Linked DNA regions of Elephas maximus indicus. The protein of the gene in region 3 interacts with the protein of the main gene of each other region in a pairwise test. Links are inferred from orthologs where the notes say so. Each region holds a gene or a part of one and is shown on either strand. Other genes may lie near its edges. The genes, in order: ENKD1, FAM110A, MKRN3 and TCHP.

Region 1 (7,797 bases), on a different chromosome or scaffold from region 3:
GGCGGAGAGACGTTACGGGCCCCAGGATGGGACCACCACGGGTCTGGCACTGCTGGCAGAGGCGCCCGGTGACCTAGTTCAGAGCTCCGAGGTGACCATCGGGCCGCCTGACCTGACTGGCCTGCGGCGCTCAAGAGGGCCGAACTCTGGGCAACCCTGATCCTCTAACTGCCAGGACAGGCTCCAAGGGCGGGAAGGGGCACAGGCTGGTCCCCCTTATGGGGTGTCTTTGTCTAATGTTGGGCTCTAACGTCTGATCCCTGTATCATTTGGTCATGGTGACCGATACCCTATGTGTCACCTCTAGTGTCCAGTGACAGGAGACCAATGTCTAGTGCCAGCCCTTGAAACCTGCCAGACCCAGGGTGAAGATAAGTGCCGAACAGAACCAGCCTCAGAACCAGTGCTCCAGGAGGAGAGGCTCAAGCCAGCCGTGGATGCTATAGAGGAGACAGGCCCCAGACCCCTAGCTTCCATTGTGAGGCCCAGTCATGGTCTGAAGAGAAAGCCAGTCAAGTAAGGGGGCTTTCAGAGGGAAGGGGCTGCAGGGATGGGAAGTGGGGCTCACACCCCAGCATTCCTAAAGCCTGCACTCCTGTAGGGCAGACCCTTATCCCCTGCCACCACCATCACTTCCCACCTCTTTTGTCCCTCAAGAGTCCTGTTAGAGAGCACCCAGAGAGAGGGAGCCTGAAGGTCTTGGAGGGGACTGAGCTCATATGCTCTGGGCCCCTGCTGGCCTGGGGGCCCTCACTGACCAGGAAAGTGGTAGGTATCTGGCCTGGGTGGTGGGCAGGCAGGGCTATCCCCTAGGCACGGGGCACAGGCTGGCTCCTCAGGCTTCCCGTCCATGGCTGTGGTCCCCCAGCCTCCCCAGGGGCTAGTCACCATGCCCATCCTAGGGCCGAAGCTGAGCTGCCATTGGGTCTGCTGCTGCAGAAGGGGGAGCCAGAAGGTAGCGAGCACTCACCATCCTCCAAACAGCACAAAAAACCTAAGAAGCGCAAGAGTCTGGGGGCCCCCGCACTCCCAGCTACAGTTAGCACCGTGTCTGCCTCCTCAGAGACCTTGGGGCTAGAGCGTGAGTGGCAGCCCTGGGCCTCCCCTTTCTCCCCTGCCTGCTGGTCCCCCTAAAACATGGCACAGCCTGGTGCTCCAGCCCTGCCCTATCCTGGGTCTTTTCAGGAAAGGCCCAGCGCCTTCGACCCCTGTACCAGTACATCAACTATTGCAACCCTGAGCTGAACCAGGCAGGGGAAGGGGGTAGGGAGGCAGAGGCCGAGGTGGAGCCCCAGTCGGAGCTGGCCCTGGTCCCCATGGAGGCGGGTGTGGAGCAACTGCAGGCCTTGCCGCCCGTGGCAGGTGAGCTGGGCTTAGACCTTGCTTTTCCCTGCCCCAAAATGTTAGTGCCTCCCACCCACATTCTGGATCCCCTGGCAGAGGAGGCTGGAGAGGAACCTGGGGGTCTGCCCAGCTTGGGGGTCAGCAGCCGGCTCACGGCCGAGGTGGATAAATCAAACCAGGTGGACATCAACAAGATGCTGAGTGTTTGTGCTGCTCCGCTTGTGCCCCCGCTCTCTCCTCAGTACAAGTGACTGTCCTGCCCCACTGGTGGCTCCCCTCCCCCCAAGCCTGAACCAGAGCAGCAGCCTCTGGGCCTAGGCCCTCAGGTGGAAGGTAGAATTGGCCCATGCCCCCACTTGCTGGAAACTTGGGCTTGCTGACAATAAACATTTTTTCATTTTCTGAGACTGCGAGATTACCCAGTGCCTGGTTTAAAGCCCAACGGATCATCTGAATACTTGGGAACTTGACAAAAATAGATTCCTGGGCACCACCCCAGATCTCACTGAATCAGAATCTGAGGGGTGGGGCCTGGATTCTATGCAGTTAAAAGCTCCTCAGGCTGACAGTGAGGGATCAAGGGGGAAGTGACTAAGGAGGGACTTGGAGCAGAGAAAGGGTCTGTGAGGCCACAGGAAATAGGGACTTGCCCTTGTTCCCTGTCTCCCAGGGAGGTGACCTGTATTTGGTCTGACTTGCATTTGTGGACCAGCACTTAGGAACCCCCCTCTGAGGTGGCACAGTTCATATGACTGTCTGAAGAGTGGCAGACTTTGGAACACTTTCCATTTGTTGCCAGGCCACAACTGGAACAGACCTTGCCCAAGGAGTGGCCTCTGGTGACAGCAGTGTCCATGCCTTTTTCCTGGCAGGAAGTGGTATAGGCAAGGAAGGATCTCAGCCTGACATTCTGGAGAGATTGCTTGGGCTTCAGTGTGAAGGACAGAATGAGGAGGAAGTTACTGGGGACAGGGAGGTGAGGAGGCTGTGATTGTCTAGGTGAGTACAAGGCCTAGATTTGGTTTGGAGTTGGATAGTAAGCAACAAGTATTTTGGAAGCGCTCACCTGGTTGCTGCTCCGAGAGAAAACTCTAAGAGGTTCAACGTATTTTCACTGGCCTGGTAAAACCTTGTTTACTTTGACCAGAGGAAGAGTTGGCTGACATCCTGATTTGGGAAATAGGTTCTGGGAGGTGGTGATGCCACCTTCCTCCAGTAGGGGCCACTGCAGGACAAGCCTGGAACCACAGTTGCAGGCTCAGTCACCCCTAGGGACCAGAACCCTGCTGGCTTCCTTGGCCACAGGCACGCATGTGCGCCATTTCAAAGCCCACCTCCTACTCCTCTGGTCATGGATCTAGGTTCTGGGGGTGTTTCCAGAGAACCAGGGGTGCTCATAAAAGTGGCCCCAGGGCATCTAGAAATCTGCCTTGGTAAACAAAGAGCTGGCGGCAGATTCCTCTAAAAACTTAAGTGCCATTCTGAGTCAACAACATGGCACTTTCTTGTGCAGAAGCATCTGAGTCAGGCCCAATGGATATCTGTTTTCTGGGTAAATCCCCAAATTTAGGAGGGACCTAGTAGGACACCAGGGGACAGACCTGGAGCTGTGACCATCATTCCCAGGAGCAGGGTGGGTAGACACTCACTCTTTAACTCTTCACTGTCAGCATCTTGCCTGGCAGTGGGGTCTCTGCAGTCCACCTCCTAGCTCAGGCCAGGCTGACTCCAGCTATAGGGAGAAGGCAACAATCTGGCTGAATACCCCAGTGGGAGTGGGGGCAGCAACATATGTGCAGTCAAGAGTCTGAGAATTCACCAGTGCTGGAGAAATGGGTAGTTCAGGGTTAGGCTCTGACTGGTCCTGACTGGGTCTTGGCTTCATCACTTATAGCTTATACAATGCAAGTAGTTTTGGCTTTCTGTGCCTCAATTTTCTGATCTGAACAATGGGAATATTAATAATACTACCTCATAGAGTTGTTTAGAGATTAAAATAAAGTACATGAAGTGTCTACCCTGGGAGGGCCCAGCATGCAGTGAACACAGTCCAACACTACTCATTGTTTTATCTCAAAAGGATAATAATTTGCAACCAGGACAATACAGGAAAACAAGCCTGGTGACTTCTATAAGGGGTGCCAAAAGGAAAAGGAAGCCCTCCTAAGCCTTTCTGGCAAGGAGCCAGGGCAGAGCAGAGAGGGAAGGTTAGAGAAGGGAACAGAGATTGGTCCAGGCTTAACAATCCTGGCAGGCTGTCAAAGCGAGACAAGAGAACAAAAGGGATTGAAGGACCTTCTCCCAATACTCACCCCACCTCTGACTTACATGGTAAAAATGACTATCCCTGTGTAGAACACAGTTCATAAAAGGCTGGCTGGTTAACTAGCTGGCTGGCCCAGGCAGCTTTCAGCTAAACCACTCCAAGGGCCAATGCATGGAGCCCTTCCTCTTCCAGCCCATTCCCTCCAGCTTCTCTGGAAGTACTCCTCACCTCCTCTCTTTTGAGATTCCCTTGGTGCCAACTCCAGGATTTGAAGAACAGAACTCCCTCCTGACCCCAAATTGTCTCCCTGTAACTGTGGGCCTCACAGGGCCTCCTCAGGGAGTCTTGAGTCCTGCTCTCTGAAGAAAGACGTTTGTTTGGAGGAATCTTAGGACTTGGCCATGAGGGCCACAGTGACAAGAGCAGGGCAGTGGCCAGGGCCGCCCCCTGGAAAGTGAAGGGCCCATGCCAGGCTCAGAGCTGCTGAGAAACTGAGAGGAGAGACAGAGATCTGAACAATGTACAGCAATAAATAAGCCTTTCATTATTAAAGACAAACAAAAACCCAAACTACCACACAAACAAAAACCAAAAACCACATGCCATGATGTCGTATTCTCTCTCTTTATTAACATTTATCAGATGTTCTAAACCTCTCCCTTGTTTCCTCTCTGCCAAATCAGGTCCCCTTTAATAGCCCGAGAGGTTACCTAATTAAGAAATCCCCTCTTCCCCATCACAGAGGGACAGCCTGGAGGCCTGAAGGGCCTGCTCCCCAGGAAGAGAAAGGGAGGATCCTTGAAGGATGACATGCTGCCCTCACCATTCCTGAGATGCCCCAGCCCAGGAAAGGCATGGAAACAAGGCTTCTTGTCCTTTCTCCCCAGCCTGAGGGATCAGCCAAGCTGGCTCCTTGTTGTGCTTTCTCACCCTCTCAGGACCACAAATCTGGCTGGAAAAGCCCCCAGGTCAAGCTTTTGCAGGCCCTGCTAAACAGTGTAGCGATTCAGAGACCTGGCAGCAGCACCACCTGCACACACTGTACTGGCCCAGGTCAACAGAATATTCCCTGCCCTGCCAGTCTGAGGAGTAAATGAGCGGATGGAGAGGGTGTTTGCCCAGGGTCACCTTAGGCTTTACCCAGACCCAGCACAAGTGGACTTGTTAAACAAAAGCCACCTCCTCTGCCATGCCCTCCTGCCACGGCTCCTGATCCCCGTGCCCCATGGCAGGGAGCCCACGTACATGCTCACAGGTTATTCCGCTGAAGCACCTCACACAGGTTCTGGTTGGCATCAGGTTCCTCTGTCAGCACCTCCACAGCCTCCCACTCCCCGGATCGGCTTGACCTTTTGATGGCATCCACCACACTCTGCATGTACAACCCGTCCTCGAATGAGGCGGCCATGGCAACAGGGGTGTGGTCCCAGGTGCGGCGGTCACCCTGCCCCTGGAAGGACTGGCGCAGGGCCTGCACCATGTACACCATGCCCTTCAGATAGAGCAGCGGGACATCTTGTGGCCCCTGCTCAGGCAGTCCTGCACCCACGGCCAGTGAGTCCCTCAGGAGCAGCTCCTCTTGTGTGGCAGAGTTCTTCTGCCCGTACAGGTCAGCCCCACGAGCAACAAGGCGGCCTGCAGAGCCCACCACCATGACCTCGTGGACGAAGGCGCCTGGCATGTTGAAGTTGAGCGTCACTGTGCTGCACACCCCCCCACCCATGAGCATCTGGAAGAAGCAGAAGTCATCGCTGGTGACATGCCGGATGCCACGGATGGCCGCATTCTGCCTCACAAAAGTCTTGAGCAGCCCGTGTACCTTCTCAGCTCTCCGGCCTGTCAGGTGGGTCAGCAGGTCCACAATATAGGTGCCCATGGTGTGTAGGCCCCCGCCACCCATGAGCTCGTCACAGATCCAGCCATAGCTGGGGCTGAGCAGGCTGCCCGAGTAGATGCGGGCGTCGCAGATCATCACTGCACCCACATAGTGCTCCGCAATCAGCTGCTTCATGCGCACGAAGGCAGGCAGGAAGCGCAGCACGTTCCCCACCAGGCTCATCAGCTGTGGGTAGTAGCGCGAGGCTGTCACCATCCGGAAGGCATCCACCGAGGTTGCTGCCTTCTCACACACCACATTCTTCCCAATACCTGAGAATAAAACACAACAGGAAATCTCACAGTTCCAAGGGGGTTACACTCCAAAAAAAAAAACCTAGTTTCTTCAAGGCAGATGGTTCCAGGGAAGCCTCCTATGGAACCAGGAGGTGGCCTTGGAAAGGAAGCAAGGTAGCTCAGCTTGAACAGAAAACAGTGCCTGTGATTGGGACTGAAGAAATACTTATGGGTCGAAGCAAGACAAGTTCTTAGGGAAAAGTGAAACTTGCAGAGGCAGAAGACATAAACCGGGAGTGGGAGGTAAAGAAAGGTCAGATGGAGAGGTGGACATGCTTCTTGGACATGGTTCCATATCTTTATGCGCTGGTTAGATATCTTGGGGCAAGAGAATCTAATCTTTATTCTATTGTGATGGGCTCTGCACTGTCAGCCATGGTTTAAAACTCCAACACTCATGGGAGTATGAGCAGCCACAAGACACCAACACCTAGGGCACCCCTGGAAGCTTAGGGTGGTTCAAGTTAAAAGAAATCCTACCTTCAAAAGTTTAAAAAGTTAAAAGAAATACCTTCAAATAGAAAACTTATAAAGCCCAAGAAACGGTATAGATTAGACACATACATAGGTTTATGAGTGACGGCAAGCTGGGGAAAGGTGAAAGCACCCAGTTATTCCATTACTCATTCTATAGACACTGCCCATGGTGAATGACTCAAATTCCACTATCATGACTCCCTCAAGAATCTTGGGCTTTTTTTTTTTTAATTTCAGATGAGGGTTTACAGAGCAAATCAGTTTCTCGTTAAACAATTAATACACATATTGTTTTGTAACACTGGTTGCCTCCCCCATGACATGTCAACACTCTTCCTTTCTAAACCTTGGGTTCCCTGTTATCAGCTTTTATGTCCCCTCCTGCCTTCTCATTCTTGCTCCTGGACTGGTGTGCCCATTTCATCTTGTTTTTTTTATGGGCCTGTCTGATCTTTGGGTGAAAGGTGAAGACGTCATGGGCTTCTTGAGGGAACAGGCTCAAGTTTGGTGGGAGCACAGAGCAACTTGCCCTGCAGGTGGCAGGATGAGGGAAGGCTTCATAAGGGAGTGACACTGAGGTTGTCTTAAAGGGAGCAGATGTTCCAGGGTTGTAACGGGGAAAGGGCATCCAGACAGAAAGAACTTGCATGCACAAACACACCGAGGTAGGAAAGGCCCAAGGTTAGGATTCCTAAAGTCCTGGGTGCATGTGCTAGGAAATGGGGATGGAGGGGTCACATGGCATCTATAAGAAATGCAGGAATTAGATAGATAGATGCTCAGTAGTATCACTCACAAAGATATTTAAGGTGAAGGAATAAGTTTGGGGGAGGAATCCAAAACTGAACTCTTGATACTTTCTCCCTAAGTCTTCCCCATCTCAATCAATGGCAACTCCGTTCCCCTGTTTCTCGAGCCAAAATCACCAATGTCCCCCTGCCCCATTTTTAATTATCAGTAACTCTTGTTGGCTCGGCTTTCAAACTACATCCAGAATCTGATGAGTTCACACTACCACCACTGCCACCTTCCTGGTCCACGTCACTACCATTTTTTGCCTGGATTATTATTATTTTTTTTTATTTTATTGAGCTTCAAGTGAACGTTTACAAATCAGGTCAGACTGTCACATATAAGTTTATATACACCTTACTCCGTACTCCCACTTGCTCTCCCCCTAATGAGTCAGCCCTTCCAGTTTCTCCTTTCATGACAATTTTGCCAGCTTCCAACTCACTCTATCCTCCCATCCCCCCTCCAGACAGGAGATGCCAACACAGTCTCAAGTGTTCACCTGATACAAGTAGCTCACTCTTCATCAGCATCTCTCTCCAACCCATTGTCCAGTCCCTTCCATGTCTGATGAGTTGTCTTCGGGGATGGTTCCTGTCCTGGGCCAACAGAAGGTCTGGGGACCATGGCCGCCGGGATTCCTCTAGTCTCAGTCAGACCATTAAGTATGGTCTTTTTATGAGAATTTGGGGTCTGCATCCCACTGATCTCCTGTTCCCTCAGGAGTTCTCTGTTGTGCTCCCTGT
Region 2 (7,519 bases), on a different chromosome or scaffold from region 3:
ACTCAGACCCTCTATCTGTATCTCTGGGAGAGGGGCCCAGGCAACAGGACACTCATGTGCAGCCAAGGTTGAGAGCCACTGAGAGAGCTACTCAGCTTGCAGCTTCTGTTCGGGCAGCCTTCACTGAGCCTCAGCCGAACCATCTCTCCTCTGGGATCCCACAAGCCCCTGTGCTGACCCAACCTGTGCCTGTGGCCATCTCATGCTTAATGCATGTTTTGTGTCTGTCTCCCCCACTAGGATGTGGGCTCCCTGAAAACAGAGGTTTCTGGTGGGTCCTTCCAGAGAAGTTCAGACGTAAGCAAACACATACAGAGAGAACACCCTTTAAATTAAATGAAACAAAATAGAATACAGCCACAGGATGCACAGGCGACAGAGAGCTGACATCTGAGTCTGATTTCATCTCAGTTTCGAGCTGAGTGGAGAAAAAACTGCCAAGGTCAGAGTTCTGGAGGGGGCAAATCCCACACACTGAAGGAGCCACCGGCCTGTCAACAGGGCAGATGCTATTGTTGCTCAAACATGCTGGGTCAGGATAAGACCGTGAGGATTGCTGGCTCCCTCTGATCCAGGCGCAGTTAATGACAGTTTGTCCTTACTCTTAGTCCTCCACCCCAGCTTGGAGGAGGGCAAGGACTGGGATGCTGTCAACCACTCTGGCTAGGCACCAGGCTCTTAGCACATCCTTGAAGGAGGCATCATCAATACGCTGTTGGCATGTGAAGATGCCCAGAGTTCTAGAATCCAATACGCCCAAATTATCTTTCTTCATATGGCATAATTTGGGGTCCAGGGGAAATCCCTTCCCCCCTGGTTTGCTTTACTTTCTTAATCTGGGGAATGAGCCTCAGGTGGTGGTGTTTTGTTTTGCTTGGTTTGTTGTCAGCTGGAAGGCATGCAGGACAGAGGAAAGCTTTGAAGATGCAAGGGTCAGCAGGGCCTTTCTCCAAGCATCTCAAGTATATCCCAACCCCTGATTAAAGTTGAACGATGTTTCAGAGAAGAATCAGACCACAACACCATTATCATTCCTCTTTTAATAACAGGGAGGTCAAGGTCTGGGAGGGACCCTGGCAATGTGCTCACAGGGTCATATGCTTTTGTAACACTTGCCAAAGTAAGGTATTTTAACTGCGCTCTGTTAAAGCCACCATCTCTTTACACTCCAAATTCTCTTTGTGTCAGATGACGTTGGGGTGGAGTTAAGCATTTTGGGGCTTTGGCTAAGGGGACATTGAGTTGGGGACACATTTAGTTTGGGTTTAGTGGGATATATTTAGGTTGTTTCCAGTCATTTTTTTTTTAATTATTTATTTGTTTTTATTTTGCTCTAAGTGAAAGTTTACAGATCAAGTCAGTCTCTCGTACAAAAACATATACACACCTTACTATATACTCCTGGTTGCTCTCCCCCTAACGAGACAGCACATTCTACCTCTCCACCGTGTATTCCCTGTGTCCATTTAGCCAGCTTCTGTTCCCCTCTGCCTTCTCATCTCCACTCCAGACAGGAGTTGCCCACATAGTCTCATGGGTCTACTTGAGCCAAGGAACTCACTCCTCACCAGTGTCATTTTCTGTCTCATAGTCCAGTCCAATCCCTGTCTGAAGAGTTGGCTCTGGGAAAGATTCTAGTCTTTGGCTAACAGAAGGTCTGGGGACCATGACCTCCACGGTCCTTCTAGTCTCAGTCAGACTATTGAGTCTGGTCCTTTTATGAGAATTTGAGGTCTGCATCCCACTGTTCTCCTGCTCCATCAGGGGTTCTCTCATTGTTGTGAATATTTAGGATCTCTGGTGGCATAGTGGTTAAGAGCTTGGCTGCTAATCAAAAGGTCAGCAGTTCAAATCTACCAGCTGCTCCTTGGAAACCCTAGGGGGCAGTTCTACTCTGTCCTATAGAGTCACGTGAGTTGGAATGGACTTGATGGCAACAGGTTTGTTTTTTGGGGTTTTTAAAAACTTATTACTAACTGACCTGGTGTAGGAGCCCTGGTGGTGCAATGGTTAAGAGCTACAGCTGCCAACCAAAAGGCTGGCAGTTTCAATCCACTAGCCATCCCTTGGAAACCCTGTGGGGTAGTTCTACTCCATCCTATAGGGTCGCTATGACTTGTAATCAATTTGAAGGCAACGGGTTTGTTTTTTTTTGACCTGGTTTAATAATGGCTTCCAGGAATACGATTACCCCTTGAACTATCCTGACTCAATTGGTGTTGTGACGTGATAGTGCAGGGTTAGAGGTCATATTTCAATATAAATGACCTTACATCACCCACACCAGAAGTATTTGGGTGCTAGAGGAGAAGTTTGAAATGTACGTATACATGGAGCCAGAAGGTAGTTTGTGGAAAGTATTACATGGGTATGTCAAAGAGGTAATAAAGAATGTTATTTTTCCGGGTTTTGTAACATTTGCGGGATTTGTCAAGTTTTAAAATTTTGTCACTTGTGGTAGTTTCTTTTATCTTTCTAACCAAGTATTCACTTTATGACCTAATTATATATTCTTTGCTTTAAAGAATTCCCCCTAAATTGTATAAAGCTTCAGGCTGCACAAAGCCTGGATCTGCTTCTGCTCAGCTTTTTCCTGTGTCTTATAGGAGCACAGGGCCAGCCTGGCCTTCCCTCACCACTGCTGCCACTGCCACTACCAAAGAGTTCTTGCGTATTTATGAAGGAATATAACTGGCTCTGGATTCAGACAAATCTTAATTTTCTCACCTATAAAATGGGAATAATAGTAGGATCTCTTTCCTCAGATTGCAATGAAGTCATGGCTCAGATTGCAATGAAGTCATGGGAGATAATCTTTGTAAAGCCTCTAGCACAATCTAGCAGGGGATACAGTGAGGGCTAGGTTTGATATTTACCTGGTGCTCACAGTTACAGCCAGACTCCTCATTTATGACAGTTTCTGTTCTGATTTGATCAGTGCCCAAGCCAGAGTTCAAAATCATTGTTAGCTGCTGACATACATAAATGCTCCTTTCTACTCCCTGCCCCCACAAGGTATGTATACATAAGCGCTCAAACATTGACAATGCAATGAAAGAAGGAAAGACACCAGCCAGGATAGAAAACAGAGGCAGGCTCCAAATTGAGCAATGCCTTAGACTCAAACAGTGACTCACAGTTATAAAATTAACCTTGAAGAGCCCTTCATTTATTCTAACCTCATAAAAAAAGAAAACAAAAGAAGTTTTCCTGACAGTTTTAAGTATTGGGAATTTGGAAATTCCACAAAAGCACAAAGAAGAAATTAACGGCTGTTAATTTTTTTTTTATACATATATACATGTGACATCACGATTATAAACTTAATGCCCATCTATGGGGCAGTTCTACTCTGTACTACCGGGTCGCTATGAGTCGGAATTGACCGGACAGCGCTGGGTTTTTTGGTTTGGGGCATGCTGTACATACTGCTTTGAAACATATTTTAAGTTTAATGCATTCTTAGCATTTCCCCTGTATCTTGAAACGTCTTTTAACTATACCATTTTTAATGAATGCTTAACATTCTTCATCAAAAAATGGGGATAAAAAAAATTTTTTTTAATTTGATCTCAGGGAAACCCTGGTGTCATAGTGGTTAAGTGCTACGGCTGCTAATCAAAGGGTCAGCAGTTCAAATCTGCCAGGCGCTCCTTAGAAACTCTATGGGGCAGTTCTACTCTGCCCTATAGGGTCGCTATGAGTCAGAATCGACTCGATGGCACTGGGTTTGGTTTTTTTGGTTTTATTTGATCTCAGAGGATTATCCTGAGCACTGACAAAGTTATACCATGCCAAGCCGCCTGGCATGTAAAAACTCAATAAAAATCCAAAAAAACCCGTTGCCCTCAAGTTGATTCGGACTCATAGAGACACTATAGAACAAAGGAGAACTGCCCCATAGCGTTTCCAAGGAGAGAGGCCGGTGGTTTCGAACTGCCGACCTTTTGGTTAACGGCCAAACGTTTAACCAGTGGGTCACCAGAATGGACTTACATAATCAATCCCTTTCTGCTGGTCATTTAATTTGTTTCCACTGTTTTGCTATGGGGAATAACGCTGAGCTATATTAATCTTTGCTCGCATTTTGATCATTTTCTTAGGACAAATTTCAGGACTGCAGTGCACGTCATTTTAAAACGAAGCCACTCATCGCTGTGCAGCTAGAGGAACAGGGGAAGAGACTTGCCCAGGGTCACATGGCAAGTTAGCTGCAAAGGAGACTAGACACACTCCAGAAGCCCCAACCACTGCCTCTTTCAGGTGGGGACCCTCAGGACTTCCGGTCTGGGGAGCGGGGGGGAGGAGGAGGAACGGAAAGAACCACGCGCCCGGGCGACTGCAGCCGCCGGAAGAACGTGGGGCCGACAGGGAAGGGGCGGGGCCGCCGAGTCCGGGCGCTCAGTTCACGAGGTTGACGCTAAGTCGTCGCTTGGCAACGCGGGCGGCGCGGCGTTCGAACGGAAGCGGGGGACCAATCAGGATTTCCGGGGCGAACCATTCCGGCCGAGGGGGGTGTGTGTGTGTGCGGCGCGCTCACTTCCCCTTCCGCGGATCTCTGGACCTACGCTCCGGCCGGGGCCTTCGGAAAATCAAGGCCCCCGGGCCATCTAGTGAGACGGCAGCTCAAAGAGGCCCTCGGGGCTGGGGTCTTCCGGGCCGCGTTGGGAACGGTCACTCCCAGCCCGGGTCAGAGCTGTCAGCCTCTCCAAGACCCACGCTAGAGGAGCGACGACTCGCGTAGCACAGGCCCCAGGTGAGGGCGCGGGTGGTCTGGGGTGCGAGCCGGGGTCCAGCAGGGGGTTACGGTTCACTGAGCGCCTGCTGTTGGCGTCCTCACTGAATCGTACCTGCAAGAAGGAGGTGTTACCCCATGTCACAGGTGAGGACGCTGAGGCTTAAGAGAGTCAAGTGGCCCAGCCCGGAGAGGTCTGGCAGAGAATCCCATTCAGGTCTTTCCACCTCATCTCGCAGCCTAGATGTGCCTAGAAAGGCCCAGACGGCAACTGGTGGTCACTTCTTAGCTTCTTTGGGGCACGGCTCGTAGACCCCCTGGCTGGATCACCTCCTCCCTACAACTAGGCCCCTCCTCCCCGTCCCCGGCGTCTTTGGGTCTGTAGGGTGCCCCTTCTGGGCGTCTGTCTTCCCTTCCCCAGAACGCCATGGGTTGGACTAAGTGTTCATTTGGGGATCTTCTGCCTGCATTCTTTCTTACAACAAAAATTTATTGGCTTCACAGCCCTGCCCTCCCCCTTGCCTGTTTTGTCTCAGTAGCATTTGCCCCATCTGTTGTCCTATCTATTTCACTTATTAGTGAGTTTATTGTCTTCTCCTCTGGAATGTGACACAGGGCAGGGGCTAGAATGAGGCAAGTGAGGCACTCAACCTCTAGTGCAAAATTTAGGGGTGCCCAAAAGCTCAGTAATTAAGATAAATAGTATTTCAGTGAACCATTTTTAAAAGTAAAAATGCAGTGCATGCTAAGCAAAATATCACTGTTACAGGGTTAGTAACAGTGCTGTGCCAGGCAATATTGGATCCAAAAGGAAGAATTAGTATTCTGTCTTTATAATCACAGAAATGATGTAAATAACCACATATCCAAATGTAAAATTTCAGTGTGACAAGGAATATAATAAGAAGGAGGAGAGAGCCATGAGGGAGTTTCACTGGGGGCCCTGAGCTAGTCTAGGCATGGTCAGGGAGGGTTCCTGGGAAAAAGGGATGTTTGAACTGAGATCTGAAGGTCAGGGAAGCTTTAGGAGGAGAACAAGTGGTGGGCAGGTGAGAACATCCCATGCAGAGGGAGCATCAAGGGCAAAAGTCCTGAGGTGGGAGCAAGCTTGAAGAGGGTGGAGATGTGGCCAGGAAGAAGAGGAGCGTGGTCTCCAGGGCAGGCCAGAGCTCTGTCCCTGGCATTTGGGCCCTTTGAGAATTATTGCTTAAGGGGTACCTTGTAGGGTTGCTATGAGTTGGAATCGACCCTAGTAGCTTTCTTTCAAGTTCCTTGGCGTTTTGTTTGTTTATTTAAGTGTTGTGTAAGCATCACCACTATTTATTTCCAAAGCTTTTTCATCATCCCAAACAGAAACCCTGTACCCATTAAGCAATAACTCCCCATGTCCTGCCTCCTCCCAGCCCCTGGTAATCTCTAATCTACTTTCTGACTCTGTCCATTTGCCTATTCTAGGTATTTCATATAAGGGGGATCACACAATATTTGCTGTTTTGTGTCTGGCTTATTTTCAAGGTTCTTCCATGTCATAGCATGTATCAGAACTTTATTTTTCTTTATGGCTGAGTAATATTTCATTGTATGTGTATACCACATTTGTTTATCTGTTCCTCTGTTGATGGACACTGAGTTGTTTCCATCTTTTGGCTACTGTGAATAACACTACAGTGAACATTGGTGTACAAGTATCTGCTGGAATTCTTGCTTTCAGGTGTCTTGGTTATACACCTAGGAGTGGAATTGCTGGGTCATAAGGTAAGGTCATATTTAATTGTTTTACTGCATGTTATTCTGGTGGGAGGTCAACTTGCATGGCTTCCATGGAGTGTAGTTCCACCATCTCTGTCACAATTACAAGTGCTGTCCGCTGACTCAGCTGTCTCACTTCAGGTATTTCTTCTTGGCAAAATGACATAGGTACAGTGACACTGCAGCATGGTTTGTAATAGGAGGGACTGGACACACACTGGGTGGTGCAAATGCTTAACATGCTTGGCTACCAACTGGAAGGTTGGCCTTTTGAATCTATCCAGAGGCACCTCACAGGAAAGGCCTGGTAATCTACTTCCAACAAATCAGCCATTGAAAATCCTGTGGAGCACAGTTCTACACTGAAACACATGGGGTCACCATGAGTAGGCGTTGCCATGAGCGGGAATCGCCACAAACGAGAGTCAACTCAATGGCAAGTGGAACTGGTAGGCACAGTGCAGCTGTGAAAAAGGAGAGGCTGCTCTCTGGGTATTGATGGCGTACCCAGAACAACATATATTGTTGAGGAAGAAGGGCAAGGTTGAAAACAGTACACAAAGCCTGTTGCCATTTGTGTAAAAAAAGAGAAAACATGTATGTCCATACTTGCTTGTATCTGCCTAAAATTTCCCTGGAAAGACACACAACTACCTGGTCACAGTGGTGCCTACAGGGAGGGGAACTGGGTGGCTCCCCAGGACAAGGGCAGGAGAGAATTTTTTTTTACTCCATTCCTTTTTATAGGTTTTGAATTTTGAGCCATGTGAATATATCACCTGGTTGAAAAATGATACATATGTGATCACTATATATTATATATCTAATTGTGAGAACCACTGCCATATCTGTGGTCTGTCACTGACTTGCTGGGTGACCTTGGGCCAGTTTCTTCACAGCTCTGGGCCAAGGTAAGAAGCCATGATAGTGAGCCCCCAAAGGGTCAGAGGGCAATCAGGACAGAAGTGGGCTGTGGGTCTGCTTCACTTCTACCACCCCCATCCTCTGTGCCAGGCCCTTCCCTAAGGGTTTGCA
Region 3 (7,250 bases):
TTTATTACAATTGTCCATTGAGGTTTTGGATTTTTCTATTTTTTTAATTATTTATATGTCTTAGGCTATGTTATTAAATGAATACAAAATTAGAAGCTATATATTCCTGGAAAACTGTAATTTTAATGTTTATATAGCATTCTTCATTTCTGTCCATGAATAACATTAACTTTGTCTTTGCATTTGGTTAACATTCTCCCATCCTATTACTTCCAGTGTTTCTGTATGCTTGTATTTGTGTAAACAACATAGTTTCATCCCAATTTTCATCAAGTATGATAATCTGACTTTTAGTTTTATACTGTTTTCAGTTAGCCTAATTAAGATATGTTATAAATTTTCTGTATTAGTATTGTATTTAGCTTTTTGTCCTAAACTTCATTCTTTTATCATTCCATTCCTGTATTCTGAACGATTTCAGTACTTTTTATTTTTCTACTTTCCTCTTTATAATCTTGTACTTATATTTTTAAAACTTTTGTCAAAAGTCCCTTGTTTGGAAAGGCTAGGGATAAAATATTGAACACAAAGAACTGCATGTCTGAGGTCATGACTGTGCTATTACAGAGGACAATGAGATGACACTAAACGCCACAGGGACATGCATTTCTAATTGCCAAAGTCATGCTTCGTATGTCCTTTAAGATCTGTGTCTGTCACATTTGGCCAACTTCACTTGAATTGTTTCATTAGATGCTAATAACTGACACCTGTACGGTACAGAAGGACTATTCACACACTTTGCACTCACACAATAGCCAATCCTGTTGCTCTTTGTTCTTCAGCTTACAGCTCTGCATTTATTTTATTATGTAAACACAATTATGTTCACATGTATGTTCTTGAATATATATTTCAAATACACTACTTTCATACAGACATACATGCAGACATATATATATTTCTTAAAGATATACTTTCTAATATAAATAATTTTCACTTCAAGTTAACAGGATAAAAACATGTAAACATATGCACTTGATTCAAGTAAAACACGAAACCACAAAATAACTGCAATATCATCAGTGCACTTGACAAGGGATGACAGAAGGGACAGGCATGTAAACAAAGAAAAATATGCAGCTGCGCCACAAGATCACACAATGATCCATTTGGTCAGTTAAGACTCCTCCTTTTACCCTGTCACAGTTATTCTTGAGAGACTTCAAAATGAGTGTAGAAATTCTGTAAACACTAACCTAGAACTGAGTGTATCTTGTTGAAAAAAGAGATTACAAGATAAACTGACAGCAATAATCATTTCACTGAACAGTAATTTTAAAGACTTTTGTTACTTTTTAACACGGCAAAACACCATAATCCTAGCGGGAAAGATAAGAGGAATGGGTAAGAAAACAGAAAGGGACACTGTACAAAAACTGTCACAACAGCCCCTGAAAGTGACAGATGGGTCTGTAAAAGGAACACAGGCAAAATAGCAGAGAAGAGGGCCTCTACAGACTAGACCACATGCCACAGCACGATGCTACGGAATCAAATTGAAATACTTTTCAAGCTCAAAAAGAAGCAACTCCCACTGGTAATCAGAAAAGGGGACTTTATAATTCCCCGTGGAAAGGAGATACTTAAACAACACCTTGGCCAGGCGAAGCCTGATAAGCTCCTTTTCATTGATCTTAAAGGACACGCTGCCCTCCACAAGCTGATTCCAGTAAGTGCTGGAAGTTCCAGCATCCTGCTTTTGGGATTCTTCTCTTTGACGCTCAGGGTTAACATGCCTGTAAAAACAGTGGTTCCCAAAAGGGCACCGATCTCTGCTTTCCATAAAATACCTGCAAGGCTTTTTGCTCATTGCTTTCTTGTAGTCCTTAATCAGCTGCTTCTTCTTTGCCTCATCCTCCACCCAGAACTCACTGGGAATAACAAGGTGGGAGGTGACCCTGCACTGTGGGCACGACTTGACGACCCTGTTTTGAAACTGTGTGGCTTTCCTCCACACACGGATACACCTCAGGCAGTAGGAGTGGTTGCAGTTGGAGAGGATGCCAAAGCGGCGAAGGCCGGCGCTGGGTTTCTCATAGACAATCTCCATGCAGATGCCACACACCTTGTCCATACTGCTCTGCACGGCAAAAGAGAACTCCATATTCCTCTCGTGCGCTTCTATACAGGCCCTTACGTGCTCTGCTCTCTGGGCTTCATTCACGGGGTGCAGAGCCTGCAGCCCACACATGTCGCACACCTCTCCGTGGAGATACATACAGTTCTCCCCATCAGGGCATTCTCCCACGGCAGCGTACTGGCAGAGCGGTTCCTCTGGCGCCACCGAGATCCGTGCCGAAGCCTGCGGGGCAGGCAGCGCCCAGCGGCCCCGGTAAGGCTGCCCCGGAACAAACTCAACAGCATCCGCCCAGGTTGCCGCAACTGCTCCGGCTGCTTGGCCGCCGGCATTCCCGCTCTCCGTTTCAAAAGCTGAGCCAATCAGCGGCAAGTTGTGACCGGAAGTACCAGGGGAAGCTCCCGCCACTTCCGGAGTCGAGGCCTCCACTTCCGCAGCCGCGCTAGGACCGCCGTCTGCAGGGTCCCGGAGCCCCGAATCGGGACCCTGGCTAGCCGGCTGCCGACCTGAGAGGTCGTGGGAGTAGCGGCACTTCTCCCCTTGCTTGCACGACCCATGTAAATGATACCTGCAGGTCACTAGCTTTGTCCAGGTTCCGACGCCGCGGTCCGGCACCCGTAAGGGCCCGGCCCCTCCCCCTGCACTCTGGACAGGCCGTAAGCCTCTCGCACGTCTAGGGACCGACCTTAGTGCCTCTGCAGGCTCCCCGGAGGCCGCGGACGCCGGTAGGCCGGAACCGCGGGCATCTCCCCCTTCCGCCCCGGCACCTGCCTCGGCACCGGGGGTCCTGGGGGCTTCTGAGGGAGCTGCAGACTCTCTCATGGCCTCCAGGGGGCTGAAAGTTACCAGGATGCCCCACCCCGGCGAGCCTTCCCTTCGGGCGAGAGGCCGGGCGGCCTCTTGGGCCGCCGGTTCTCTTCTCTAGGCGGTCCGTCACTTTCCGTCGTCCCCCTTGCTCCCAGCTCCCTATGACTATGAGTTCCTACGTACTTCCGTTCGCCAGCGAGGCGGACACTTCCTGTGGTGGCGCCGCTTCTGCTTTACCTAGTCTCTACTGCAGGCGTTTTCGGCAGACTTCCGGTTTTTTTCCACCGTGATAGTTTTGCGGCGCCTCGGCTATTTTCACGGCCTTGGCCCTGTTCGGCGCTTTGTCAGTCTCAGATGCGTCCCCCCGTCCCAAGTTCCGCTTATCGCATTGTCTCCTTTGGTGGATATAATCAAAACACTTTGAGGTTTTATATCGCTTCTATTTTTCATTCACGACAGCTGGTGGCGCAGTAGTTGAGCTCTGGGCTGGTAACCAAAAGATTTCCTTAATGGGAACCCACCAGCAGACCCCAAGCAGCTCCGCGGGAGAAAGATGTGGCCATTTGCGACAGCCTTGGAAACCCCATGGGGCAGTTCTAGCTTCACAAGGGGGTTGGAGAATCATTACCAGCATCAACAGCCTGAGGCAGGTTGCTTTGACGTGGAAGTCAAACCTACCTCCACCCTCCAACTTTTTGCCTAGTGCTGACACCAGCTGTTCCTCTCATGGGACTCTCTACTTCTCTGCTGTGTTTGATAAATGGTTTCAGTGGCCACACAGAAGTCTGTAAAGACTACAGCCTTGGAAACCCTATGGGGAAGTTCTGCTCTGTCCTATGGGGTGTCTCTCTAAAGCGTAACTTTGAGTCAGATGATTTTGTGGTTTTGATTTTATTTGACCAGAATCAGGTGCATATGTTTACATGTTTTATCCTGTTTAGCTTGACATAGAAATTATTTATGGGTAATGGATTTGATTTTTGGCTTTGAGTATTTTTCACTCATTCAGGTTTTTTTAAATATCTTTTTAAAATCACAAACCCTTATTTATATTTAAAAGTTCTTCTCATAGTTTCTGCAACATTTCATCCATGATTTTTATAAATTCTGTTTCTGTTCACTCATGCCCATTAGTTTGTTTTGTTTTGTTGTCTGATAATTCTCACTGCTTTAACCTTTTGTTTTGTTCCGTGGACAAAATTATTTCTTTTAGTTCCTAATGGCTGGAATTTTTTTTTTCCGTTTATAGATGCAAACAGTTTTCATTAGTGAGGCACTAGTAGGGAGCACTTTGAATCTTAGGCAACTTTTAGCACCTGTATTGTGATTTCTAATTTTCACTTCCCGGCTGTGCCCCAGACTTCTTCCAGTCCTAAGGCTGGCCTTTTAAGCCTCTGTCCCCTGAGTGATCCTGGCTTTTATTTTTGCTCGGCTGGTTTAATTCATCATAGCCCTTTATTTCCATTCCTTTTTCTCTTTCTTTTGAATCTCCTAATTCACCCAGCTTTGTGCTGTATTGTGGCAGAACAGCCTTCAGAACTTTGACTCTACTATACATCGGGCAAGTGGTGCTTTTTAATTTCCATATGTGTGAGCTCTTTGTCATTTTGTAGATACGTTTTATTAATGAACTTGTTTTCTATTACTACTTTGCTGAGAGTAGTTATTATGAATGTATACTGAATACTAATTTTCTGTGAATATTGATAGATGATCATTTTTTTAGTCTTCATTGTCTTAATGTGATTATTGACACATAGATTTTCACATATTAGCTTGACATTTTTACTAAGAATAAAGCTTTGCTGTGATGATGTGTCTTTCTCTTGTATATCATTGAATTTTATTGGCCAAAACAAGTTTCTTACAGGGAATTTTATAGCCTAAATTTAAATTTTAAAGTGAGAGAAAGTCTGACTATTTCTGATATAATCATCTAGGTCAATAATTTAAATCCTAATTAAGTAGATGGAGACGAGGCAAAGAGATGGAAAGTGTAGAAATGGCATGATGTCAGGGTCAGACCTCCTTCTCTAACTTCACAAGGGGGTTGGAGAATCATTACCAGCATCAACGGCCTGAGGCTGGTTGCTTTGAGGTGGAAGTCAAACCTACCTCCACCCTCCAACGTTTTTGCCAGTGCTGACACCAGCTGTTCCTCTCATGGTACTCTGTACTTCTCTGCTGTGTTTGATAAATCGTTTCAGTGGCCACACAGAATTCTGTAAAGACTACAGCCTTGGAAACCCTGTGGAGAAGTTCTACTTTATCCTGTAGGGTGTCTCTCTAAAGGGTAGCTTTGAGTCAGATGATTTTGTGGTTTTGTGTTTTATTTGACCAGAATCGGGCACATATGTTTACATGTTTTATCCTGTTTAAGATTGACATGAAAATTGTTTATGTGTAGTGGGTTTGGCTTTTGGTTTTGAGTATTTTTCATTCATTCAGGGTTTTTTTTAATATCTGTTTTTAAAACCACAAACCCTTGTTATACTTAAAAGTTCATCTCATAGTTTCTGCAACATTTCATCCATGATTTTTATAAATTCTGTTTCTGTTCACTCATCTTATGTCCATTAGTTTTTTGTTTGCTTGTTTTGTTTTGTTTTTTGTCTGAAAATTCTCACTGCTTTAACCTTTTGTTATGTTGTTTCATGGACAAAATTATTTCTTCTGGTTCCTAGTGGTTGGAATTTTTTTTTTTCATTTATAGTTGGAAACACTTTTCATTAGTGAGGCACTAGCAGGAGGCACTTTGTATGTTAGGCCACTTCAGCACCTTTATTGTGATTTCTAATTTTCACTTCCCTGCTGTGCAGGAGCCCCAGACTTCTGCTAGTCGTAAGGCTGGCTTCTTAAGCCGCTGCCCAGTGAGTGATGCTGGCTTTTATTTTCGCTCGACTGGTTTAACTCATGGCAGCCCTTTGTTTCCATTTATTTTTTCTCCTTCTTTTGAATCTTCTAATTCACCCAGCTTTGTACTGTATTGTGTTAGAACAGGTTTCCAGAATGTTGACTCTACTATACATGGGGCAAGTGGTGCTTTTTAATTTCCATATATGTGAGCTCTTTGTCATTTTGTAGATACGTTTTATTAATGAACTTGTTTTCTATTACTACTTTGCTGAGAGTAGTTATTATGAATGTATACTGAATACTAATTTTCTGTGAATATTGATAGATGATCTTTTTTTAGTCTTCATTGTCTCAATGTGATTATTGACACAAAGATTTTCACATATTAGCTTAACATTTTTACTAAGAATAAAGCTTTGCTGTGATGATGTGTCTTCCTCTTGTATATCATTGAATTTTATTGGCCAAAACAAGTTTCTTACAGGGAATTTTATAGCCTAAATTTAAATTTTAAAGTGAGAGAAAGTCTGACTATTTCTGATATAATCATCTAGGTCAATAATTTAAATCCTAATTAAGTAGATGGAGACGAGGAAAAGAGATGGAAAGTGTAGAAATGACATGATGTCAGGGTCAGACCTCCTTCTCTAACTTCACAAGGGGGTTGGAGAATCATTACCAGCATCAACGGCCTGAGGGTGATTCCTTTGAGGTGGAAGTCAAACCTACCTCCACCCTCCAACGTTTTTGCCAGTGCTGACACCAGCTGTTCCTCTCATGGTACTCTGTACTTCTCTGCTGTGTTTGATAAATCGTTTCAGTGGCCACACAGAATTCTGTAAAGACTACAGCCTTGGAAACCCTGTGGAGGAGTTCTACCTTTATCCTGTAGGGTGTCTCTCTAAAGGGTAGCTTTGAGTCAGATGATTTTGTGGTTTTGTGTTTTATTTGACCAGAATCGGGCACATATGTTTACATGTTTTATCCTGTTTAAGATTGACATGAAAATTGTTTATGTGTAGTGGGTTTGGCTTTTGGTTTTGAGTATTTTTCATTCATTCAGGGTTTTTTTTAATACCTATTTTTAAAACCACAAACCCTTGTTATACTTAAAAGTTCATCTCATAGTTTCTGCAACATTTCATCCATGATTTTTATAAATTCTGTTTCTGTTCACTCATCTTATGTCCATTAGTTTGTTTTTTTGTTTTGTTTTTTTTGTCTGATAATTCTCACTGTTTTAACCTTTTGTTGTTTTGTTCCGTGGACAAAATTATTTCTTCTGGTCCTTAATGTTTTGAATTTTGTTTTTTTAGTTTATAGTTGGAAACACTTTTCATTAGTGAGGCACTAGCAGGGAGCACTTTGAGTCTTAGGCTACTTTTAGCACCTGTATTATGATTTCCAATTTTCACTTCCCTGCTGTGCAGGAGCCTCAGACTTCTAGTCCTGAGGCTGGCCTCCTAAGCCTCTGTCCCCCGAGTGATTCTGGCTTTTATTTTCGCTC
Region 4 (7,858 bases), on a different chromosome or scaffold from region 3:
TTGGTTTATGTATGTATGTTTTTATACAGAAGTATAGAGATGTGGGATTACAAGATGACTTCTAAATTCTACTTCAAACACTTCTGTATTGTTTTGTCTTTTTTTTTTCTAAATTTTATTTATTTTGTTGTTGTTGAGATTATACACAACAAAACATATACCAATTCAACAGTTTCCACATGTACAATTTGGTGAATTGGTTACATTCTTGGAGTCGTGCAACCGTTCTCAGCCTTTTCTGAGTTGTTCCTCCCCCATTAACAAACTCACTGCCCCTAAGCTTCCCATCTAATCTTTCAAGTTGCCTGTTGTCAATTTGATCCCATATAGATAGTTCTTAAAAAAGCATAATGTCAAGGCTGGTCTTTTTTACTAGTTAAGCTAAACTATCGTTTGGTTTTAAGATGACTTCAGGGGATATTTTTGGTTAGGGTTTAAAGATTATCTCAGGGCAACAGTTTCAGGAGTTTGTCTACCTTCCATGGCTCCAGAAAGTCTACAGTCCATGAGAATTTGAAATTCTGATCAGCATTCTTCTATGGAATCTTTGTTCAAAATATTTAGTAATGGCAGCCAGGTACCATCTAGTTCTTCTGGTCTCACAGCAAATGAGGCAGTTGTTCATGGAAGCTATTAGCCCACATTCCATATCTTCCTCCTGTTCCTGACTCTCCTTCTGCTGTTGTTACAGGTGACTAGAGACCAATTGTTGTGCCTTGGATGGCCACTTGTAAGCTTTTAAGACCCCAGGCACTACACAACGAACTAGGAGGTAGAACAGAAGCACTAAACACGTTCTTAGGCCAATTAACTGGAGTGTCCCATGAAACTATGACCATAAACCTCCTAACCAAGGAACCAAATCCCGTAAGGTGTCTGGCTGCACATAAGCAGCTTTTTGTTGTTGTTGTTGTTAACATATCTATTATACCACTTTTGCCAATTCAACTTTTTACAGGTGTACAACTCATTGACAGCAATTACAATAATCGGCTGTGCAACTGTGCCCTTAATCAATGTGATTTTTCCCTCACCATTAACCTCCCCCCTTTCCACTCTTCCTCACACCCCTGGTAAAAACTAATAAATTTTGATCTCTATATGTGTGCCTTTCCTTGTCTTTTTATATATAAGTGAGGTCATACAATATGTGTCCTTTTGTGAGCTTATTTCGCTCAGCATAATGTCTTCAAGCTCCGTCCATATTATAGCATGTATCAGGACTTCATTTCTCCAACTGGCTGAGTAGTATTTTATTGTATGTATGTACCACATTTTGTTTATCCATTCATCTGTCAATGGGCATTTAGGTTATTTCTGCCTTTTGGCTATTGTGAATAGTGCTGCAATGAAAATTGGTGTACATGTCTCTTTTTGAGTCTCTGCTTTCAAGTCTTTTGGGTATATACCTAGGAATTGTTGGGTCATATGGTAGTTCCATTTTTAGTTTTTTGAGGAACTGCCACACTGTTTTCCACAATGGCTATACCATTTTGCATTCCAATAGCAATGGATAAGGGCTCCAATTTTCCCACATCCTCATCAACATACATTATTTTCTGATTTTTTTTTTTTAATCTAAGCCATCCTAGTGGGAATTAAATGGTATCTCATTGTGGTTTTGATGTGCATATCTCTGAAGGCTAATGAAGCTAAGCATCTTTTATCTTTCTTAGTTGGAAAAACCATCACCACCATGCAGGCAATCCCTGCTGTTAGCAAATCCCTCTAGAAGGCATGATGTCAAGCCAAGCCACATTCCCAGGGCCCTTAACACCACATCCCGTGACCAGCAAGCAGGCCCCACCTCCATCTAACTGGCAGTCACTGTGCAATTACCTCCGCTGGTAGGAGGTCTTGGAGCTCCACTCTGCCTGTTTGGAGCTGCAGATGTCAGACAGTTGAAAGTAGCGACGGTTCTGATCCCACTGCTGCCGAAGCCAGTCCGCCTGCTCTCGCTGCCGTGCCAACTGCTGACTTAGGAGCCGCCGGCTGCACCAGGAGGAGGGCAGTGTGGGCAGTGCCATCTGAGGAGAACAGCGATGGCAGGAAAGTGAGCCAACTGCAAACCCCAGGAACCCTCCCGAGCTCGGCCTCATCCCTCTAATCAATGGCTCTCGCCCCTGGCTGCACATTGGAATCGCCTGGTGGAGCTTTCAAAAAAATAGTAGACCAATTAAATCAGAAAATCTTAAGAGTGACGCCCAGGCAACGGCATTTTAAAATTGATTTGCTATCAGCACTGCAAATCGCTGACTTAAATAAATGTGGGCTGCACTGGCTGTGGGCCAGGCATTATCGGGGGCACTGAAGACAGAGACAGAGAACCACTCCTTGGGGAGGTTTATACCCTGCATAAAGTAACAGTGACAATCATTTAAGGAACATCTTAGGAGCAGTCTCATCCCTATGACCACCTCTGTTATTTGGTAGATAAGAAAACTTAAGTTTAAAGAGGTGACATGACTTGTCCGGGAACACTCAGCCAGGAAATGGAGGAAATAAAAGAGATGCGGTTCTAATTCACGTTGGTCTGAGTCCAGATTCCAGGCTCTGTCAACTGTGACAGGCTGTGTGTTGGAACCAAAATGCCCTGGCAGTCCCCAGACCAGGTGCTGCAGCTGAAAGTGCTCTGGGCCATCATGGAGGGCAAATCCCTAATCTCACAGATGGAGACACTGAGCCTCAACATCCACATCTGACAAGCGGGATGACAGCGGCAAGTGTCGGAGCAGAGTGAGGACGGGAATCCGGGCGCCCTGTCCTCGTGTCCCCAGACCAACCCGCGCTCCCGCCACTGCGGGCCGACAGCGGCCGGGACCCTGTCCTGGGCCCCACGCTGGCTCCCGGACGAAGCTAGCCTCCCGACTCACATTTCTCTGGGTCCTGGAGTTTCCCAAGCGACCCACCCAGGCCAAGGTCCCACAAGCCGGACAATCTCCCCGCAGGCCGCGCGGCACTGACGCCAGCCGTTTCAAAGTTCGTTGTCCCGGCAACGGGCCTGGCGACGGAGCGTCGCGAGGGCCAAGCCGCCTCCAGCGCGATACTGAGCGCGCGGAAGAAAGAAAGGCGTCTGTTTTCTCTGGCGCCTCCTAGTGTTGGGCGGGCGATCAAGAGCAATTGTCGCTTTTCAGAAAGCCCAAAACCAAACCCATCGCCGTGGGGTGGATTCCGACTCATAGCCACCCTATATGGCAGAGTAGAGCTGCCCATAGGGTTTCCAAGGCTATCATCTTTATGGAAGCAGGCGGCCACACCCTTCTCTCGCAGAGCGGCTGGTGGCAGCCTTTCGGTTAGCAGCCAAGTGCTTAACCACTGCACCACCTGGGCTCCTAAAGATCACTAGTCCTTAAAATAAGGAACGATGGAGGAAAAGAATCCGTTCAGTACACGGTAACCTAGGGGGATGAAGGTAAGGGTGGTAGGAAATCACGGGGATAGGATAGAGGAAAAGAATATAAGCCGCCTGACTGTACATGAGAATGACCTGGAGAGCTCTAAGAAATCCCGATCCCCAGACTAAACCCCAGACAAATCACTCGGGGGGGTGGATCCCGGGCATCAGTTTTTCCAAGCTGCCTAGGTGCGTTTGGTGTGCAACCAAGGCAGAGACTACCGATGTAAATAGATGTAGGGTACTGGTAACCTTCTATTGTTAAAAACCAATGAGTAGATCCCCAACTTTGAGTCCCTTCTCCCCATTATCCAAAAAAAAAGGGAACGATGAAAGAAAGCAAGAAGCAAAGCAACTCACATTTCTTGAACACCTGCCATGTGCCAGATGTTTTTAACATTTATTACCTTGCTGAAGCCTCCCTTGTTGCCTTCACTTTGCAGATGAGGAAACTGAGGCTCAGAGAAGTGAAGCAACTCTCTTGAGGTCACACAGCAAGGACAGGAGGCAGGATTGACACCCAGCCCCCTGAAGTTGTGAGTCTCCCATCTGTTTCTCTAGGAGCTTGTAGCCACCATCACTCAGCTGCTAAGGGAAAGATCAGCGGTTGGAACCCACCAGCCGCTTGCTCCGAAGCAGAAAGATGTGGCAGTCTGCTTCTATAAAGTTTACAGCCTTAGGAACCCTATGGGGAGTTCTACTTTGTCTTACACGGTTGCTATGAGCTGGAATCAACTCGAGGGCAGCGGGTTTTTTGGTTTGGTAGCCACCATTACACATTTCAGGCCATCTGGGCCACATAAAGAGTTCGGCGATATTAACAGGCTGAGGACTGTGGCTCACAGAGGGCTGGGAGGGGAGGCCCTGGCGGGGAATGGTCAGGGTGGATGCTGCTCACACCATGCAGCTACACAGGGCTACTCTCCTCGAACCTGCCTTTGGGTATCCTAGCACGAGAGGAGACACAGGAATGGGGAGATGGGAGCACATGGGACCAGCTGTCCGTTAGCTGACATGTGACAGTGTTGGAGGCTGCACAACGCCCCTCACTTAATTAGCAGATGGCGTTGCCAGGCATTTTTATCCACACCATGTTTTCACAGCGTTTCAACATCAACCACACTGGCTCCCTTCAACTTGGGCTGGGCTCCCCCCCCTTCCTGAAGACAAAGATACAGGATTAGACAGGGTGTGTTCAAAGACCCTGGGAGGACAGGGTTGCCTTCCAGAGCCCCAATTTTGTGTTTTAATAATATTAACAACAGGAAGAATAACAAATGTAGGTATACATGAGAACAAACTATAAAAGGCCACTCAGCAAAAACAGCGAAGATGGCTGGGAGCTGGGTTAGGGGTAGTTCCAACTCATGGCGACCCCATGTGTGTCAGAGTAGAACTTAGCTCCATAGGGTTTTCAATGGCTGACTTTTGGGAAATAGATCTACAGGTGTCTTAGTTATCTAATGCTGCTATAACAGAAATACCACAAGTGGGTGGCTTTAACAAATGGAAATTCGTTTTCTCACAGTTTAGGAGGCTAGATGTCCAAATTCAGGGCTCCAGCTCTAGCGGAAGGTTTTTCTCTCTTTTCATTCTGGGGGAAGGTCCTTATTCCTTGGCTCCTTGGTGATCTTCATGTGGCATGGTGTCTATCCTCTTCCCACATCTGCTTGCTTGTTTAATCTCTCTTATACATCAAAAGTAACTGACTCAGGATACACCCTACACTAATCCTGTCTCAGTCACATCACAAAGACAACCCATTCCCAAATAGGGTTATAGCCACAGGCGTAGAGCTTAGAATTTACAACACATATTTTTGGGGGACACAGTTGAATCCATAACACCAGCCCCTTCTTCCGACTCTCCAGCCTTTTGGTTAGCAGCCAAGCATGTTAACCATTTGCTTCACCCAGGGACTCCCTGTCTCAGTAAGTGCTGGGTTTATTTCCTTTTCTACTGAAAGAAGGAGCTGGAAAGTATTTACTGATTTGCTCACAGTAGCAGACACTACTGGTTGATTATGTAAAAGCCATTCCCTCAACTTTCTTGTTCAAGCTGATGCCTGATTGGGGTGGGGCATTACCCTTCTCTACAGGATTCAGGGAGTAAGTACCAATTAAAAAACACCATTGCTGTCAAGTCGATTCTGACTCATAGCGACCCTACAGGACAGAGTAGAACTGCCCCCATAGAGTTTCCAAGGAGTGCCTGGTAGATTCGAACTGCCAACCTGTGGGTTAGCAGCCATAGCACTTAACCACTACACCATCAGGGTTTCCTAAGCACCAGTTAGTCTAAGCCAACTCTGGTGGACCCACGCCCCCTGTTGGTGACCGGCCAGTGATGAGCTTGTGGCCCAGTTCTGCTCAAAGAGACCCGAGGGATGTCTGCAGGGGAGGGGGCTGGGAAAGGTCTTCTTCCTCCCTCTTTTCTTTTGCTCTTCTGCTGGTTGTTGTCCTCGCTGATTCTACTGGACACAGTCCATCCAGGGAGGCAGACAGCCTCCACTTCCTAAGTTCCTAAGTTCAAGGCAATTGGTGGACAATGTCGGAGCAGCTCCCTCCTCTGTTTAGCATCCTTCCATGGCTCCCCACTTCCGTTGGTGCAAGGTGCACACTATGCTCTGCACGGTCTGGCCCCTGTCAACCTTGCTAGCTGCACTGGCCTTTGTTTCAACTCTTACCTCCAAAGTTTCCACCATGCTGTTCCTTCCTCCTAGAAGGCTCTTCCCCTCTGCTCTTACTCAACCTTCAGGTCTCAGTGTAAATATCCCTTTCTCTGGGAAGCCCTCCCCAGTTCTCTCTGACTAGGTCAGGTTGCCCAACCTTGGAATACACTGTATTTTTTCTCCATAGCATCCACTGGTACCTTAAATATTTTTTAAAATAACATCTGCCCTTCACCAATATACCATGAACTCCATCTCCTGCTGCATGTTCCAGCCTCTGATTGGTACAGAGTAGGTGCTAAAAATATTTAGTAAATGTCCATTGACAGTGGAGCCCTGGTGGCGCAGTGGTTAAACAACTTGGCTGCTAACTGAAAGCTTGGCAATTCTACCCACCAGCTGCTCCACAGGAGAAAGATGTGGCAGTCTGCTTCCAAAAAGATTTACAGCCTTGGAAACCCTGTGGGGCAGTTCTACTCTGTCCATAGGGTCGCTATGAGTCAGAATCAACTTAACAGCAGTGGGTTTGGTTTGGGTTTTGTCCCTCGACAGATGAACGGATAAACAAAATGTGGTATATGCACACAATAGAATATTAGTCACCCATAAAGAGAAATGAAGTCCTGATGCATACCACAACATGGATGAACCTTGAAAACATCATGCTGAGTGAAATAAGACAGTCACAGAAGGACAAACACTGTATAATCTCACTTACATGAGATAAGCTAATATATAGAGACCAAAGATTCTTAGTGGTTACCAGGGGTAAGAGGAAGGGGGAAAGGGGAAGCTTTTGCTTAGGGGGTATCGAGTTTATGCTAATGGTGGTGGAATGATGTGGAAAAGGATAGAAAGAAAAAAGAGAGAGAGAGAAAATGCGTAGTGAATGAAGGAAAGTATGGCCAGTGGGACCCCACCCTAAGTGCCCCAGCCTGCAGCCAGGGGTGTGGGGGATGAGCTACAGGACCCTGCCTTTGCCAGAGAGGTTTGTCACAGAACCTGGACAATGTGCCAGGGCTGGTTCCTTAAAATTAAGCTCAATCCCTGTTGAGCAAGCTCCTGGGATGTTCCCAGACTCCTCTGTTGAATCCTGGGAGCCTTTCTTCCCTGAGAAAAGCCTCACCTCTCAGTCTGTCTCCTTAGGCATTCCCCAACTTCACCTTCCTCTTGAGAATAAAGAACTCGTGTTGCTGGTGCAAGGTCCTAGAGAAAGGCCGGCTGCTGGGGCCAGCAGGATGGGGAACACAGCCCCCAATGCCACCACTGGGATTAGAAGTCTAGAAAGTCTTCAGAAATAATCTTAAATAATATTGCCCGACCCATTCTCATTTAACAGGTGGGGAAACTGAGTCCAAAGAAGGAAAGAGGTTCTTGGAATAAGCTAATGGCAGAGTTAAGATGAGAGCTAGGTTACCTGACAGGTTGGTCTGGGTGCTTTCTTAGATCCCTTGCTTTCACCCAGAGCTACTGAGACCTATAATCGTCAGCTTCTTCAACATCGGCACCCTCATGGGACTTAGGTCTACTGCTCACCCATGTCCCAGGTAGATCCTTAAATATGCTATCTCATGGAATATCCTCCTTAACACTTTGAAGGAGATACTATCATGATACCCATTTTACAGATGAAGAAACTGAGGCTTGGTGTGATTATATCACTTGGCCCAGGTCACATAGCTAGAAGTAGTAGAGTCAGGGTTTGATCCCAAGTCTGTTTGTCAGACTCCAGAGGCTGGGCTCTTACCTGCTCCCTCCTGTGCTCATTTTTGGGTGCTCAGAATCAGTATGTG

Evidence for each region.
Region 1: the proteins of MKRN3 (region 3) and ENKD1 interact in binary tests that used the Homo sapiens proteins (3 or more experiments, as listed by UniProt). The two-hybrid records come from large-scale screens. The link is inferred for Elephas maximus indicus from reciprocal best matches to the Homo sapiens genes MKRN3 and ENKD1.
Region 2: the proteins of MKRN3 (region 3) and FAM110A interact in binary tests that used the Homo sapiens proteins (3 or more experiments, as listed by UniProt). The two-hybrid records come from large-scale screens. The link is inferred for Elephas maximus indicus from reciprocal best matches to the Homo sapiens genes MKRN3 and FAM110A.
Region 4: the proteins of MKRN3 (region 3) and TCHP interact in binary tests that used the Homo sapiens proteins (3 or more experiments, as listed by UniProt). The two-hybrid records come from large-scale screens. The link is inferred for Elephas maximus indicus from reciprocal best matches to the Homo sapiens genes MKRN3 and TCHP.

The regions. Positions count from the first base shown.
Region 1 is NC_064839.1:34,136,054-34,143,850, forward strand, and holds the start of ENKD1 (enkurin domain-containing protein 1), read right to left. Parts: upstream 3,008-7,797; 5' UTR 2,994-3,007; exon of another isoform or gene 1,596-2,993; coding exon of another isoform or gene 1,186-1,595; exon of another isoform or gene 1,082-1,185; coding exon of another isoform or gene 869-1,081; exon of another isoform or gene 525-868; coding exon of another isoform or gene 308-524; exon of another isoform or gene 92-307; coding exon of another isoform or gene 1-91. Other genes in the region: GFOD2 (glucose-fructose oxidoreductase domain-containing protein 2), read right to left, coding at 4,860-5,758. UniProt on the Homo sapiens protein: Microtubule-binding protein which regulates microtubule organization and stability. Promotes the stability of astral microtubules and facilitates the proper orientation of the mitotic spindle.
Region 2 is NC_064843.1:38,839,094-38,846,612, forward strand, and holds the start of FAM110A (protein FAM110A), read left to right. Parts: upstream 1-4,515; 5' UTR 4,516-4,756; intron 4,757-6,446; 5' UTR 6,447-6,490; intron 6,491-7,519.
Region 3 is NC_064831.1:99,037,835-99,045,084, reverse strand, and holds MKRN3 (probable E3 ubiquitin-protein ligase makorin-3), read right to left. Parts: upstream 3,018-7,250; 5' UTR 2,903-3,017; coding exon 1,487-2,902; 3' UTR 501-1,486; downstream 1-500. UniProt on the Homo sapiens protein: E3 ubiquitin ligase catalyzing the covalent attachment of ubiquitin moieties onto substrate proteins.
Region 4 is NC_064840.1:20,428,880-20,436,737, reverse strand, and holds the start of TCHP (trichoplein keratin filament-binding protein), read right to left. Parts: upstream 3,001-7,858; 5' UTR 2,874-3,000; intron 2,028-2,873; coding exon 1,840-2,027; intron 1-1,839. UniProt on the Homo sapiens protein: Tumor suppressor which has the ability to inhibit cell growth and be pro-apoptotic during cell stress. Inhibits cell growth in bladder and prostate cancer cells by a down-regulation of HSPB1 by inhibiting its phosphorylation.